Nothobranchius furzeri: one gene and its partner. The protein of the gene in region 2 purifies or fractionates together with the protein of the main gene of each other region. This does not show direct contact. Links are inferred from orthologs where the notes say so. Each region holds a gene or a part of one and is shown on either strand. Other genes may lie near its edges.

What was found.
Region 1: the proteins of styx (region 2) and fbxw7 purify together in Homo sapiens (affinity purification with western blotting; 4 studies listed by BioGRID and IntAct, with this or other methods). This does not show direct contact. The link is inferred for Nothobranchius furzeri from reciprocal best matches to the Homo sapiens genes STYX and FBXW7.

What each region holds. Positions count from the first base shown.
Region 1 is NC_091747.1:80,806,614-80,814,447, reverse strand, and holds part of fbxw7 (F-box/WD repeat-containing protein 7), read left to right. Parts: intron 1-2,550; coding exon 2,551-2,799; intron 2,800-2,887; coding exon 2,888-3,403; intron 3,404-7,834. UniProt on the Homo sapiens protein: Substrate recognition component of a SCF (SKP1-CUL1-F-box protein) E3 ubiquitin-protein ligase complex which mediates the ubiquitination and subsequent proteasomal degradation of target proteins.
Region 2 is NC_091749.1:54,435,437-54,443,918, forward strand, and holds the start of styx (serine/threonine/tyrosine-interacting protein), read right to left. Parts: upstream 5,212-8,482; 5' UTR 4,986-5,211; coding exon 4,926-4,985; intron 4,619-4,925; coding exon 4,586-4,618; intron 4,504-4,585; coding exon 4,450-4,503; intron 4,353-4,449; coding exon 4,255-4,352; intron 4,164-4,254; coding exon 4,103-4,163; intron 4,036-4,102; coding exon 3,999-4,035; intron 3,921-3,998; coding exon 3,881-3,920; intron 829-3,880; coding exon 778-828; intron 684-777; coding exon 611-683; intron 1-610. UniProt on the Homo sapiens protein: Catalytically inactive phosphatase. Acts as a nuclear anchor for MAPK1/MAPK3 (ERK1/ERK2). Modulates cell-fate decisions and cell migration by spatiotemporal regulation of MAPK1/MAPK3 (ERK1/ERK2).

The DNA of each region.
Region 1 (7,834 bases), on a different chromosome or scaffold from region 2:
TGCTATCAAAAAGAGGTCATTTTTCAGCCAGTTTGAAAGATTTGCCCCAGTTTCTCTAACACTAAGAAAGTTTACATACACGATTGTTAAAGATACAGCAAAATAGGAAGGTGCTTTTTGTTTTAAGGGTACTGATGAAATATATTTATCATAACACCATTTTAATTGACCTAAATCATTGTACATTACAGGTGTTGCAAACACCTTTTAAAAGTTTAAATTTCTTGTGTTCAAAGAGCCAGTTTTTATTTCTTGTTGATCTTGGCTTTCAAACCCTCGGAAAAGCCTAGTTTATGCTTCTGCGTCAGCTCCACAAGGGAGAGACACATCCACGGAGACGTTTTGGTCTTCTCTGTCTCCTGAGAAGTGTTTCAAAGCAATTCCCTGCCAGGACAACAGAGGGCGTAGCATTGTTCTGTGGTATCCTGTCACGTATCCGGTTCGAGATGATGCATTAAATATAGTGTTTATATTGTGTTTTTTGTATTTTAAACACCTTTTAACACAAATACATTTGTTCCTCATTCTCCTCCACCTCTTCATGTGCTCGCCACCCACGTTTCCCGTCATTTTTATCCACGAATAAAATGCTTGCTGCATATCTTTTCACTCCTCCAGTCACAGGTGAACAAACATTCATATTTTTAGAGGTTTTCCATGAGGTATTTTTCAAGCTGCTCTGTGTCTGCCGCTAGATATCTTTGGCTCTCTTTATTTTTTTGAGGGGGGCAATGGCGGTGCTGTTGACAAAATCAGCGTCCTGACCAATCACAGGCTTGCGGTCTCCGTCTTATTCAACGGATGTTTAGAAAAGTGGACTCGACTCCGTTCATCCTTGCAAACCTGCTGGAGAGCCCTCACAAGGACGGATAATGGCGTTGCGCGTCTCCGCACTGACGCAGACGCCTTTAGCCTCAGAAGTCATTTTGAACTCTGTGAATAAAAAGCTCCTATCTTCCTCACATACGTCTCGTATGAATGGACATCTCTTGAAGTGTTAATATTTTTAGTTAAATGTCCTGTATTATATTTAGCACTTTCTAGGGTTCTAAAACCCCCCAAGGTGCTTTACAACACATTTGGTCATTCACCCAGGCTCACACACTCACACACTTGTAGTGATGAGCCACAGCTGTCCTTGGGCACACAGACCGGTGAGGCGGCTGTACATAGGCACCACTAGTCCCTCTGACCACCCCCAACAGGCAAGGAGGGTTAAGTATCTTGCCCAAGGACACAATGACTGCAATAGACAGGGCTCAAACCTGCAACCGTCCGGTTACAGGACAACTAGGACCCTGCTGAACTAAGAAGACAAGAGCGATCCTAATTCTGCTCTGTGCCCTAAATAATTATTGACTCACTATTGAGTAATTTTAATGACATTTTCACACACTGAAGTTGTTACCATTCTCTTACATTGTTTCATGCTAAGCTAAAGCTAAAGCAGTACAGATTAATCATGAGAATGACTGGGCTGGTTACAAATAGTGTTTTTTCTACTTATCTAACTATGGAAATATAGCAGCAGACACTATTTACTTTGGGGTGGAATATCCCTTTAACGAGTATAAGGAATATGACAAAGTTAATAGTTAAAACCCTGACTTTTGGTAATTTACAGAATCTGATTTGATCTGTCAACTTTCAGGGTTTAGTATGTTGCCTGATGTAAATTACAATTTCTAACTAGAAAATTCCTGAAGAATTTTTAAAAAGGGACCTGCCAGCTGGCACAAGATAACATTCATACACATGTAAAAAAAATGCCTCTTTAGAAGGCCTGCCATCAAATTCATCCATTATTGTGCACATAATTAAATCATAATCATGCAAAGTTAATGCAAATTTAGACACACTCAAAATGAATAAAAGAATATGTTTTTTGCTAATAATTTCACCATCATAAATCAAAATGCTTAGAAAAGTAAAAGCACACCTCCCACTGCTGAGCCGTTTATTTTGATGTATAATTTGTGGGGGTGCACGCTGCCGCTCGAGCCGCGTTAACGTCCGCGGAAGAATAATAACGGATATTAATATCTAAAACTCCCCAGGTGCATAACAATAAGGTCCCTGCTTGCTGCAGCAGCAGGTCCCTTAATTATTAAGAACGTACTTAAATGAGTAAACTTTAAATTTTATTTGATTAAAGATGAAACAGCAGCTTTCTTTTGGATTTTAGATATTTTAGAACTGTGTGGAGCGACAAGTTTGGAGCTGCAGCTCTCATCTTCTTTTACAGTGAAACAATATTTAGCTTTTGTATTTGACGTATTGTTTTTTCTGTAATTTGACAAACTTACAAGAGAGTTGTTTACATTTATCTCTGACGTTGTGGCTCCTGTCCCAAAACACAATCACACCCATCACTGTTGCTTGTCTGCTGCTGAGCAGCACAATCGGTTTCCCACAAGCTAATTCTCCACATCAATAATATTTAATAACTTGGCTGATTTTATGGAAAGTACTCCAGACAGTTTAAGAGAAGATGAGGAATAACAACCAATGCATTAAGCATAGCTTAAGTGTTCTGTTTGTGTTTTGCAGAATGTCAAGACCATCCCCTCCTCAGACAGCCTAGCGAAGGTTCAGGAGGTAGCAAGCTGGCTTTTGGAAATGAACCAGGATCTGCTGTCGGGGGGCAGCAGCAGCAGGCGGAGCCGGGGCCCCGGGGGTCAGGCAGTACGAGGTAACGCCTCCTCTACGGCCCGGGCACCCCAGCAGGCAGCAGAGGAGGGTGAGGAAGATGATCACATCAACCGGGTGGTTGAGGAAAGCGAGCAGCCACAGCAGAGGGTGAGGTTTTTTTTATTTTGTGCATGTTGGAACATAAACTGGGTTTCCCTAAAAGGTCATTGTTATTCTTCTCTGTGGCGTTTTGCAGCCGGATGCGTCACAGGTTGATGATGAAAGGGAGCAGCCATGGGCACCCGCCGAGTCAGGAGCCAGCAACGGCCCTCAAGGAGAAGCAGACGAGGAGGAGAGAAGAGGAGGCCAGCTAAATGAAGTGACCGGGGATTATAAAGGAGTCCGATGGGTGTGGGGAGCAGAGCAGAGAGCGCTCCGAGGCCAGCCGCACCTCGAAGAGGAGGAAGAAGAGGAAGAAGAGGAGGAGAACAACAATAGCAGCAGCCACCAAGAGGAGGAGGAGACAGAGGAGAGGACAGAGGGAGGGGAGGAACAAGGAAGGGAAGAGGAGGAGAGGGATGAGGGTGAGGAGGAAGAGGAGGAGGAGGATGACGAAGAGATGGACCAAGACAGTGATGAGTTTGAGCAGGAGGAGGAGGAGGAGGAGGAGGTGGGAGATGGGCTCCGCTCCCCCACTCTCAGGAACAAAGTGTCTGCCCCCAGGAATAATCAGGACTCGCTCTTCACACACCAAAGTTCTTCCAACAAGAAGGTAAGCAGCTTAATGGATCCTGTTAGCCGTTCTGCACGTCTGTGAGTAGCTTTACAATCACATCTGGCCAGATGTTCCTGTAGTCTCACAAACTTCTGAAAATGTTCTGCACCAGCGCTGCATTGTTGTTTGAAACAACAGCGCCACCCAGTGGCCAGAATGCTCCAGCACTGTAAAACTCAACACTGTTAGTCAGAAACTTGTTTCATGTTTGATTGGGAAACATGATTTTATATCTGAAATCCAAAAATGCACATCCTGTTTAGCACTTGTAAAGAGTAAACTGTTCAAAGTTTCATGTGAAAGAGTGTTTAGAGTAACACACATTTGTGTTCAGCACCATTTCTTACATTTAGATCCGTATAGTTTTTATTCTTTAGTGGATCCTGTGATTCAGACGCTGTTCTCCATTACAATTCTGTTCAATTCAGTCAGGTTTAGTTCCCCTGGGCCTCTTGTGATCTGACACAGCTGACCGACCAGGTGTGTTTATCAGGGCCTTAGTCACTTGTGGGCCATTCCCATCTGTACCGGGTCGGCCCGGGCCGGGTAGCGTAGGTTGTTTACATATCTGGGTAGCCTGGTATTTTTCCGGGCCTACCAAGGCTCATTCTCAGCCCTCTTCTCGAGGGGGTCTGCTTCAGGCCGACCAGGGCCAACACACCCACTGCTGACAGCAAATTCACACCTTCCATTAGAGCAAGCCTCTGATTGGTGGGTAGAATCAGCCCACATGGGCTTAAGACAAGGATGTGTGGAATCAACCGGGCCAGGCTGGGGCCGACTGGGGCTACCCGGCCCGGGCCGACCCGGTACAGATGGGAATGGCCCATTGGAGGAGCCATCTGGCTTTGCACACATTCTGTTGAGCTGTGGTTAAATGTGCATGGTATTATAGAAGGATCTGTTATGAGTTTAAATTAAAAGTTTCATTAATAGTTTATTTATAACTTAGCAGTTTTCACAACAGAGACCTTTTGTGATTGAGCTGGTTGAGCTGTGTAAAAAGAAACTGACTAAGGCCTGATGTGCCACCAGATTAGGTGGCTTATGACTCATCACAGATGGGTTCTGTCATGGATTTGATCAGTAAGTTTATCAATAACCTATTTCCCTGTAGTCGGAGAGAAAAAGGAGACAATGAACAACAAGTCAAACAGTTATAACTGTGGCAAGATGCCCCAAACATCCGGTCTCATAGTTTATTTATATATATATATATATATATATATATATATATATATATATATATATATATAGAGAGAGAGAGAGAGAGAGAGGAGAGAGGAGAGAGAGAGAGAGAGAGAGAGAGAGAGAGAGAGAATGTGTGTGTGGGAAGTAGGGGTGGGCAATATAAACGAAATAAGGTAGAAACGATCTAAAATTGGGTAATGATAGTGTTTTTGGCTAAATTGCAATACCGCGATATCGCAAAAACACATGACGTCACTAAGATGTGCACCCTGCTGACATTGGGGCAACAGAATGGCAGTGACTACAAGCATGGATTGGGCGGAGGAGGTGGCCTATGTACAGTGGGGCAAAAAAGTATTTAGTCAGGCACCGTTGTGCAAGTTCTCCCGCTTAAAATGATGACAGAGGTCAGTAATTTTCATCATAGGTACACTTCAACTGTGAGAGACAGAATGTGAAAAAAAATCCATGAATTCACATGGCAGGATTTTTAAAGAATTTATTTGTAAATCAGGGTGGAAATTAAGTATTTGGCCAATAACAAAAATTCAACTCAATACTTTGTAACATAACTTTTGTTGGCAATAACAGAGGTAAAACGATTACTATAGGTCTTTACCAGGTTTGCACACACAGTAGCTGGTATTTTGGCCCATTCCTCCATGCAGATCTTCTCGAGAGCAGTGATGTTTTGGGGCTGTCGCCGAGCAACACGGACTTTCAACTCCCTCCACAGATTTTCTATGGGGTTGAGGTCTGGAGACTGGCTAGGCCACTCCAGGACTTTCAAATGCTTCTTATGGAGCCACTCCTTTGTTGCCCGGGCGCTGTGTTTGGGATCATTGTCGTGTTGGAAGACCCAGCCACGTTTCATCTTCAAAGCTCTCACTGATGGAAGGAGGTTTTGGCTCAGAATCTCACGATACATGGCCCCATTCATTCTGTCCTTAACACGGATCAGTCGTCCTGTCCCCTTAGCAGAAAAACAGCCCCAAAGCATGATGTTCCCACCCCCATGCTTCACAGTAGGTATGGCGTTCTTGGGATGCAACTCAGTATTCTTCTTCCTCCAAACACGACGAGTTGAGTTTATACCAAAAAGTTCTACTTTGGTTTCATCTGACCACATGACATTCTCCTAATCATCTGCTGCATCATCCATGTGCTCTCTGGCAAACTTCAGATGGGCCTGGACATGCACTGGCTTCAGCAGCGGAACACGTCTGGCACTGCAGGATTTGATTCCCTGCCGTTGTAGTGTGTTACTGATGGTGACCTTTGTTACTGTGGTCCCAGCTCTCTGCAGGTCATTCACCTGGTCCCTCCGTGTGGTTCTGGGATTCTTGCTCACCGTTCTCATGATCATTGTGACCCCACGGGATGAGATCTTGCGTGGAGCCCCAGATCAAGGGAGATTATCAATGGTCTTGTATGCCTTCCATTTTCTGATAATTGCTCCCATAGTTGATTTTTTCACACCAAGTTGCTTGCCTATTGTAGATTCACTCTTCCCAGTCTGGTGCAGGTCTACAATTCTTTTCCTGGTGTCCTTCGAAAGCTCTTTGGTCTTGGCCATAGTGGAGTTTGCAGTCTGACTGTTTGAGGCTGTGGACGGGTGTCTTTTATACAGATAATGAGTTCAAACAGGTGCCATTAATACAGGTAACGAGTGGAGGACAGAAAAGCTTCTTAAAGAAGACGTTACAGGTCTGTGAGAGCCAGAGATTTTCCTTGTTTGAAGTGACCTAATACTTATTTTCCACCCTGATTTACAAATAAATTCTTTAAAAATCCTGCCATGTGAATTCATGGATTTTTTTTCACATTCTGTCTCTCACAGTTGAAGTGTACCTATGATGTAAATTACTGACCTCTGTCATCATTTTCAGTGGGAGAACTTGCACAATCGGTGGCTGACTAAATACTTTTTTGCCCCACTGTATAAAAGAAAAACAACCCAGTAGCCTTTGTTCCGACAGAAACATTTAGCTTAAATAAAAACCACAACAGTGGGCACCAGAGGGAAAGGCGAGGCTTCTTTTGAACATTTTAACCGTGTTTATTACGGGCCGTTTATGCGTCACTCTACCAAACTACAAATACAAAATTAAACAAAAAGAAAAATCAATTTGTCTTCCAGCAAACATGTGTGCTGCGCTTGTATTAAAAAAATCTATCTTTTGAGCTTCTTCTGTGTTCGCAAATCAGTCCGTGCGTCATGACGTCACATGCACGAATAAATCGTCCATCGTCTTTTTTGGACTGACGATTGGTGGTGGGAAAAATTATACAAATCGCTCAACCCTATTCTAGACAATATTTAAAGTGCAGACTTTGCAATTGTGGAGATTAAACTTCCTGCTAGCTACACGGAGAGACTGGGCGTTACTGTTTACAGTCCTGGGGAGGTGGGATCCAGACTCGTGACTGCCAGGATGGTGAAGATCGGGGCATGATGATGCAGACATGCCTCGCTTCTTCCCATCCGGCCTTTTGCAATAGCCTAGCAGAGTTTAGCACAGCTAAAGGGAAGAAGCAACTGAGACATGAAAATGTAAAAGTGAACCCATAAACCTTGTTGGGGGTGTTTTTCATCAGGAAATAACAATGAAATTTAGTCCAATCCTGGTCCTGGAGGGCCGGTATCCTGCATGTTTTAGTTTGAACTCTGTTTCAACACACCTGATTTCAATCAGCAGCTAATTAACAGACTTCTGCAGAGCCTGATGAGCTGCTGCACAGGTGTTTCAACCACTGAATCAAGCCTGTTGGAGCAGAAAAACCACAAAACCTGCTGGATACCAGCCCTCCAGGACCAGGATTGGACACCCCTGAGTTAGAGGCAACACAGAAGGGCTTTGGCAATTTCTAGGACCATTAATAAAATAAAATAAAATATATGACTATAGCATTTTTGTACATCAGTCACTTTTATGTTCATCTGGTGAAATCCACCACTTCATGCAGTTGTGACTGTTCTAATGACAAGCTTTGGTAATGAGACAGTACCAATACATCTTTATATTAAGTGTTTCTAACAGTTTTCTAATTAACTCTAAGTAACCCCATTATTCGTTTATCACTTGAGATTTGAATGATTTAGTTTTTTTTAACTCCAGTGCAGAATTGTTGTTCCATTCTGTTCCACTAGAGGGAGACATATAGCTGAGTTATACCAACCCACTGTTACTGTTTGTTCTTTTTCCTGTTATTTTTTGTGCTGCTCAGAACTTGTTG
Region 2 (8,482 bases):
CATTATCTGATCACATTTTTTGCTCTTCCCACTTTTTAGTCATTTTTAAATTTTTGTTTTTGATTTATTTTTTTTCTTAAGTATTTGTTTATTTATTTATTAAATCATATCGTCAGCGCAGGTTTTCCAAATATCGTTCAGCCCTACTTAACTAATCCCCAATCCACACTGGCAACGGTGGCGTGAAACGGTGCTATGGTAACTATGAAAAATGTATACCTGCGTAGTGTTTCAGATTGTGCAGAAATATTAATGTCTGCAAGATTACCCCAAGTATTTCTCCGTTTTACCAGCCAGTTCACTAATATTGACCAACAAGAGGCACTTGTATACCTAAACATATTAGATCAGGTGTTCATACTGGATTTCCTGCTGGCCTGTATGTTGGTTTCTAACTCCATATAAAGTAGCTGTCGAGCCTCATGTCACCACCTGCTTGCATCTTACCTTCATCCCATTTGCCCTCAACAATTCTGGGATGTGTAACTAATGACAACAGCAAAAGTTAAAAAAAAAAACTAATACCCTTGAGCCACTCCCCCTTGTTAATTTGAAATAAGGACCAAATGATTAAAATCCAAGCAGAATTGGGACTCAGCCCCAGTCTTACCTGTAGTTGATGCACAAAGCCCACATTGGGGTTGATGCAAAATCTCCTCTCCTGGACATAACTGAATGCATCCCTGCAGAGTTTAAAGTGGGGAGAAACTGAAGCAGAACACACTTCTCCAATTAATCTTTGTCTACAGCAAAAAAAAAAAAAAAAAAAAAAGTCACCTGTATTTCATCCCAAATGTTTCCATCAGGTAGGCGATCACCAAAGCAGCACTGAAAGTACAGATATACCCCGGTGGTTACGATGACATTTAGATGGATTTGGTCTTGTATTAGCATCAAAACAAAAACTACTGATATTATACATCTGAGTATGGCTGGACGATATATAAAAAAGCATATCAAGAAAAAATGCTCTTATTGACCTAAATCTATAATAGATAACTACAAAAAAAGTAGAAAATATATTAAGTGCAGCCCTGGCATTTTTATGGCATCACTTTATGATAAAACCAGCTACCATAGGTATTTATTGAGAAAACAACCCTCGTTTATTTTTTATCAGACGTGTAAAAAGGGAGCCCAAGTCTCCTTCCTTTCCGGTCGGCTCATGGGTCCCCGCAGGAACAAATAAATGAATGCAAGTCAATGGAGCTATTTTCGAATCCGCTTTGCCTTACGTCCTGATTCACACTCGTGCTGTACTTCAATTTAAACGAAAAGTAATGATGTGTTTCGACCACGCCTGTCACATACTTTGAGATTATCAGCTTGTAAAAGTTCGTAATTAGCATGACTACAAATCAGATGTCGGCACGTCGCATATATGACGTCACAACAGAATCTCCTCTCCCCTAGCATAGCTGCTACTTACCACATGGCCAGATTTATGGTGGTTTGAAGTTCGCAAAACTTACAGCCATTTTTCTTCTGCTTTTCTCCATGTCTGGTTCGGTGACATCACTTTGGTGATGCACATTTGTAGTCCTGGTTGTATTTTCACACAAAACCTAAAATAACTTTTGCCCGATTTAAATAAACACTTTCTATGCATCAGAATGTGTCTTTGACATTCACGGACATCATATATGAAATCCATGGCTCATAACGGAATTAGAAAATAGCAGTTTAAAGCCCCATTGACATGCATTCGATTTTTCGTTCTTCAGGGGACCCATGGTTTGGAAGTAGATGGACGTGACTTAGGCACCTTATTAGGTTTGTATCCAAATTTTGATATTGTTTAACTTTCTACACATTTTACCACGGCCTACAGCAGGGCTATTCAATTCTGGGCCTTGAGGGCCGGTATCCAGCATGTTTTAGTTTTAACTGTGCTTCAACACACCTGATTTTAATCAGCAGGTGATTAACAGGCTTCTGCAGAACCCGATGAGCTGCTGCACAGGTGACTCAACCACTGAATCTAGTGAGTTGGACCAGAGAAACCACTAAAACCATGGGACTGTGTGTGTGACCTACAGTGTGGGCGCCACTAAGGGGACTGTTTTGGCACCCTTTCTTTTCACCCTGTACACTGCTGACTTCAGACACAACACAGACAGATGTGTTCTGCAGAAGTTCTCCGATGACCCTGTGATTGTCTGCCAGATCACCGAGGACGGTGATGTGGAGTACAGAGGACTGACACAAAACTGTTGTCAGCAAAACCACCTCCTGATCAACGCGGGGAAAACAAAGGAGATGGTGGGGGATTTTCAAAGACGCCAGCCTGCCACTCCTTCACAGGTGAACATCCAGGGAATGGACATTGAGAGAATTGGCTCTTATGAATACCTGGGTGTTCACCTGAACAATAAACTGGACTGGTCTCACAACACAGATGCACTGTTCAGGAAGGGTCAGAGCAGGCTCGACCTCCTGAGGAGGCTGCAGTCTTTTGGAGTGGACACTCGTGAAGACCTTTTATGACTCTGTGGTGGCACCAGCTTTCCTGTATGGTGTGATCTGTTGGGAGTAGCAGCATCACAGAGAGAGAGAGAGGAAGAAGCTGGACAGGGTGATCAGGAAGTCCAGCTTTGTCCTGGGCTGTCATCTGGACTCAGTGCAGGAGGATCCTGGCAAAACTGAGATCCATGCTGGGCCATGAGTCTCACCCCCTGCAGAACTCTGCTCTGGAGAGCCGCTTCAGTGACGGACAGATCCACCTTCGTTGTGTGAATGGTAAATGGCCTGTATTTGATATAGCGCCTTCTAGAGTCATGGAACCCCTCAAGGCACTTTACAACACAATCATTCACACACACATTCACACACTGGTGGGGATGAGCTACGATGTAGCCACAGCTGGCCTGGGGCGCACTGACAGAGGCGAGGCTGCTGAGCACCGGCGCCACCAGTTCCTCCAACCACCACCAGCAGGCAATGTGGGTTAAGTGTGTTGCCCAAGGACACAACGACAGCGACAGACTGAGTGGGGCTCGAACCTGCAACCTTCCGATTACGGGGCGAGCACTTCCTGTGCCACCGTCACTTCATGACAAAGGAGTGTGAAGGAGAGATACCACATGTCTTTCATTCCTGCTGCGATTAGACTCTATAAGGAACACTCCTAATATGTAACTCATAAATCTGTGACAACTTATGTATCTGTAGCAATGCCACAACTGTCATCACCATTCAATACATGTGCAATGTTTACAGCAACAATCATTATGTTCAACAACTATCAAACTCTCAATTCAACACTTTTTCTATTCCACGTTACTTACTGAATTCCTTTTGTGTGATAGCTTTTCTGTACTACTATTTTAACTTTACTGTACTTGTGCTGTTGCAATACTGCAATTCCCCCTGAGGGACTAAAAAAAAAGGTATTCTTATTCTTAAAAAGTGCTGGATACCGACCCTCGAGGCCCTAACTTGAAAAGCCCTGGCCTACGGTATTACGATCTGTTATGGACCTTCTTGTGTCTTTAATGAAGTGATTGACTGATTGATATTACGATTACAAATAAAAAAATATGACGTAAGCCTCAAGTGACATTACTTCCACTGTTCAGAAACTGAAACACTATTACAGAAAAAAAACAACAACAAAAAAAAAAAACAATGTGCATAATATTAACACCTTTTATTTAAAAAAAAACGCAGCTTATTAAAAAGGGTTTCCACCAGAAAAAAATTAAATTTTTACTTTTCCAGCTTCAACATTGCATGCTATGGACTGACAACTTTCCCTGCAGGGCTGAAAACCCGCTCCGATGGTGAACTTGTGGCGCAACTGCTATAGGAGTCTATATTAGAGATTTTTGTCTCCTGAAATTTATATAAGGAAACATGTCAAAAACAGAAAACTCCTCACCTTCTCGATATCCCTGCATTACCGTGAACCAATACCTTTCCTGGAGGAGCAAAACAAGACTGCTGATCAAATATTTCACATTGAAATGATGACAAATAGGAACTGTATGTGTCCTTACCCTCTGTGGCTAAACAGCTACCAATAAATTCTTTAGTCTGCAAGAAGGAAATGTAAGAAAAAACATACTAGAACGGAGAATTAAAAGCTAAAACTTTAACTCACCGTAGGAAAAAACCGAATTATATTCTCCACTGGATTGTCTGCAATATCTAAAACAAGGTATCTGCAAGAAAAAGCTTCATAACTCAAGACTTCACATTTAGTATAAGCGTTCTGAGTACGTAAATGTTCAAGGGACAAAAATAACACCTTACCTAAATCTATGAGGAAAATTAGGTTTGATAAAATTGGCTTCAATGTCTTGGCGGATACACACAACATGTGTTATGCCGTGTCTTTCAAGAATTGGCAGCTGGAAACAGATGAATTTTAAAGTAATTAATTCATGTAAATTGTGACCGTTTCATATTCAACACAGCTCAAGCAAACATTCGATTTTTAGTTGTTACCTTGCTTTTCATTGCAGCAGAATAGGGGCCTAAGTACAATCCTGGTAAAATCTCCTAAATGGATTAAAAAAAAAACAAATAGCACAACATCAACAACAACAGGAGGAATGGATGCTACTAGACAACAATAACATACCTGCATTTCTCGCCTCATTGGATAAGCCCAGTCCTGTGAAAAAACAAAAAAAAAACAAAACAAAACAAAAAACCAAATCAAAAGTTTAAGGAAATGTTAAGGTAAGTTTACTTGTGTACATACGTGGCTAACGCTAGGCATCTTCTTGGTTTTAGCTACATGATTAAATATTTTAATATTTATTAAATAAAGAGAAGATGAGTTTTACACATGACTAGTTTGTGTTAAGTTCATATATCCTCACACTGAATGCCTTGTAATCTAAACGTTTCACAATAATGCCGGAGAGTATGTTAGCTAAAATTAGCGTGTCGGCTCCAGTTTCATGTTTTCTCCTCACCAGCAGCTCCTCCTTGGAGGAAGGAAGATCCGGGAACTGGAGTTTGATTTCCTCGTCCATTCTGCTGTGAGTTCGGGCTCTGCTGGCCCGGTTTCACGCGCGGCAAAGATGGTTCTAGCGACGGGGTTAGCTGGATAATCGGTGTAACTTGTTTGGAGGCTCCACATGCATGTCCGCCATACTGTTCCCAGACACATGTGTCACGTGACTCCTGAGCAGACAGCATGCCAGAATTTATGGTAAGCCAATATATCCTTTAAGTTGGAAGGCCAAAAGTACGGAAGGACAAACGTCCCATACCTGTTAAAGAGATACTGCACAATCTTTCATGTATTTAAATCACATTCTTGAGTTTGTGCTAACTGACCTTTCACAGGCTTAATGAAATGCCTCTCAGACCCCACCACCCTCTGCGGCAAGAATTTGCAACTTCAAAGTGCCAGGCCACCATCAGTTAGACTTAGAAAAAATGCATTTGACATACCTAGCACTGCATTCTGTTTCCAGCACATTTCCTGCATTTAGAAAATGAACACAGCTAATTTGTTAGATTTAGTAATGAATCGCTCCTTTAGAAACCAATTAACCCAAACCGTTTTGAATTACAAAACAGATTGGACAAATACATCAAGATGTAGGAAAAAAATGTTATAAAATAAAGAAGTTGAATAATTTCCAATATATGTATGGATAGATTTTCACTCTGGGTTTTCAAACTTGAATATTTGACCCAAGAAGAAATTTTGCAGATGTTTAAAACCGGTGGTGACACCAGTGTCACCACCGGTTAAAATCGGTTGTGATATATATATATATGTGTGTGTGTGTGTGTGTGTGTGTGTGTTATTTTATATTGTATTTTAAAGTTTATACACAGGTCCTTAAAGGTTCAGGCTGGGGAGACATTGCAGCTGTAGGTTAACGTTGTGCGTTAGGACAAATGCACAGCAAGGAGATAAGTCTCTCTTTTGCTTTGACCACTAATAGTTAATAACGGACACTAGGGGGTGGTGAAAGCAAGTAAAATTGCTTAGTATACCGTTAGGAAGAAATATTCTGCAGATAAACAACTCTCACTGTATGAGTTTGCTGCAAATGATAATCTTAAATGTATGGTGGAGGATGTTTCTGAATGTCAGGAAAGAACCGCCCTCTCCATAATTTGAAAAAATGCGCATGAGAGAGAACGCCCAGTTATCCCAGTGCACGCTTTGTTCACGAGTAGCTGCTGGACTTGCAGCTAACTTCTTTTAGCAGTTATATGAAATGAATTTCTCCAAATAGCATGCCGAACTTTAGCTTACCTGTCGAGCAGGTGAGCGAGGCGTCTGTGGGGAGCCCAACCTTCGCTTTGCGGATGCGCAGGAAGTGAAAACTGCCCAGCAACAAGCATGTGCAACGACGGCCTTGATGTGACTGGCTCACCAGAATGTTTGACAGTTATGCGGACCAATGGTTCAGATGATCCACCTGGAAGAAACAGATCCTATATTTTTAATTACAGCTGGGTACAAACCTTTAAAATGTTTCTTTTCAACTATTTATTGGAACTATTGTCTTGTCAGTAAGTAAAAAAAAATAAAAAAACACGTTTTATTGCTTTTGCATTGTTTTCTTGCACTGAGTTGTCATTATATTCCTATGATTATTTCTGTTATTTTCTATTGTATTTTAAAGTTTATGTTAAATACATTTTTATTTAAAATCATATAAAGATTTTCTAATTCATTTACAAGTTCTTGTCACTGAAATATGTTTTTTTATTAAAAAAAGTTACCTTCTCTGTTTTCCTCTTATCACATTTTTTTTCCTTCTTATCTTCAAACAATAATTTGAACACAGTGTTGTGCCTGAGTCATCGTGGAGGGCAAAGGCTCCTTCTTTACATATCATGGATCTCCTCATCTGACAAATACATCTTTGTTGAGATGAGCAGGTGTTTGTGAGTTAAAAACTCCGCAGCGGTGCTGGTCAGCAGAGAGAAGTGACAAAAAGTTACTTCTTATCAGATGCAGAGACATAGAATGCTGTCACCTTTCCACAGTCACACTAACCAGAAAAAATAAAGTTTCTTTGAAGGATATCAGTAACAGGAAACATATTCAACCCTTTATCCTTAATCCTTATCAGAGTGCTTAGAAAACACAGTGAACTCGCTTCCCTGTGGCACAAACATCCAAAAGAAAGCAGTTTTTAATCATCCATTTACCACATTCATTTTTGCATAAAGGAAAGAAATACACTTTCATTAAAAACTTGATCTTAATATTAATCAATAAGAGTGTTCTTTAGACAAAATTAATGTCAACAAATTAGGGATATGAATGAATAAAATCACCAGTTTTCTTATAAAAATGATCCGAAACGGGCTTGTGAACATTCAGTCTTTATCTCACTGTCCAATTACACCACCACCAGAGGATATTGATAAGTATAAACATTTAATGAATCAAAAGATGGCTCTGATTTATTATTCATAAATGCAAGCATTACTGAAGTTTCCATTTGCTCAGCTAATTATTTACTGTTGCTGTCATTTACTTTACTGTTTTTTTCATTCTTCTCAGACTGTTCAAGCATGGACCAAATGACAGTCGCTGTCAATGTTTGTATTCCCTCGGGGGCCGTGTGCTGCAGCATGAATGAATGATGGCAGCGTTAGTTAGTTAGTTAAATCCATTTTTATTTAATTAAATGTCACTTTTCTGTGCAGTAATACAGTAAACATTTTACTGAAGGCACTGCAGAAAAAATAAACAACAAAAGCCTAAAACAAAGGCCATGAAAGGCAAGAAGAAGGAAAAATGAATTTTTTCTCACTCTTCTGTTTAAGTATATTAAAAGCCTAAATTTCTGTATAATTAATGAGCATCAGACCCACGTGACCACAGAGCTAGCTCCGTGGAAAGGCCTCAGTCGAGCCTCGGCCTGGCTTGGAAACTGCTCAGGGATTTTGAAGCTCTGGTGTTGTGCACAGTTAACTCCGGTTGTAGCTAGGTTGCTACCTCCATTAGCTTAGCTCCCTTCTCCGCATTAGCTTTGGGTTTGTGTATTCTTTTTTTGGATATTATTTGTGCAACTGTTGGACAAAATGACTTGCTGTGGCATTAATTGCACTAATAGAGCGTCCAACGAGTCTCCACTTCATTATTTTCGGTAAGTAAAATTATATTTATGTATTTTAGGTCACTGCCGAGCTGAGCTTAGATTTTAACATGTACTGTTTAACCATGAAATTTAAATGTAATAGGGTAAATCCCAGTGCATTTAACATAATGCTGCACTTTAGAAAATGGGCTAAAATATTACATGTTGGTGGAGCTGGGTTCCGACTATCGGCTTGTGGAGCTCTCTGGAGACCTCTGTTTTCCACATGTTTCTCCCCGCAGCTCGGCGCAACTCTGTCTGATCGTGGCTTCTGTTTGATGTGCGGGCTGTCGGCTTGTGGAGCTCTGGGATGGAAACCTTTCCACCCGGTTCTCCCCAGCGGCATCTCTGCGCATCTCAGATCGCAGCGGCGCTTGTCTGCTGTGCGGCTGCCGGCTTGTGGAGGTCTC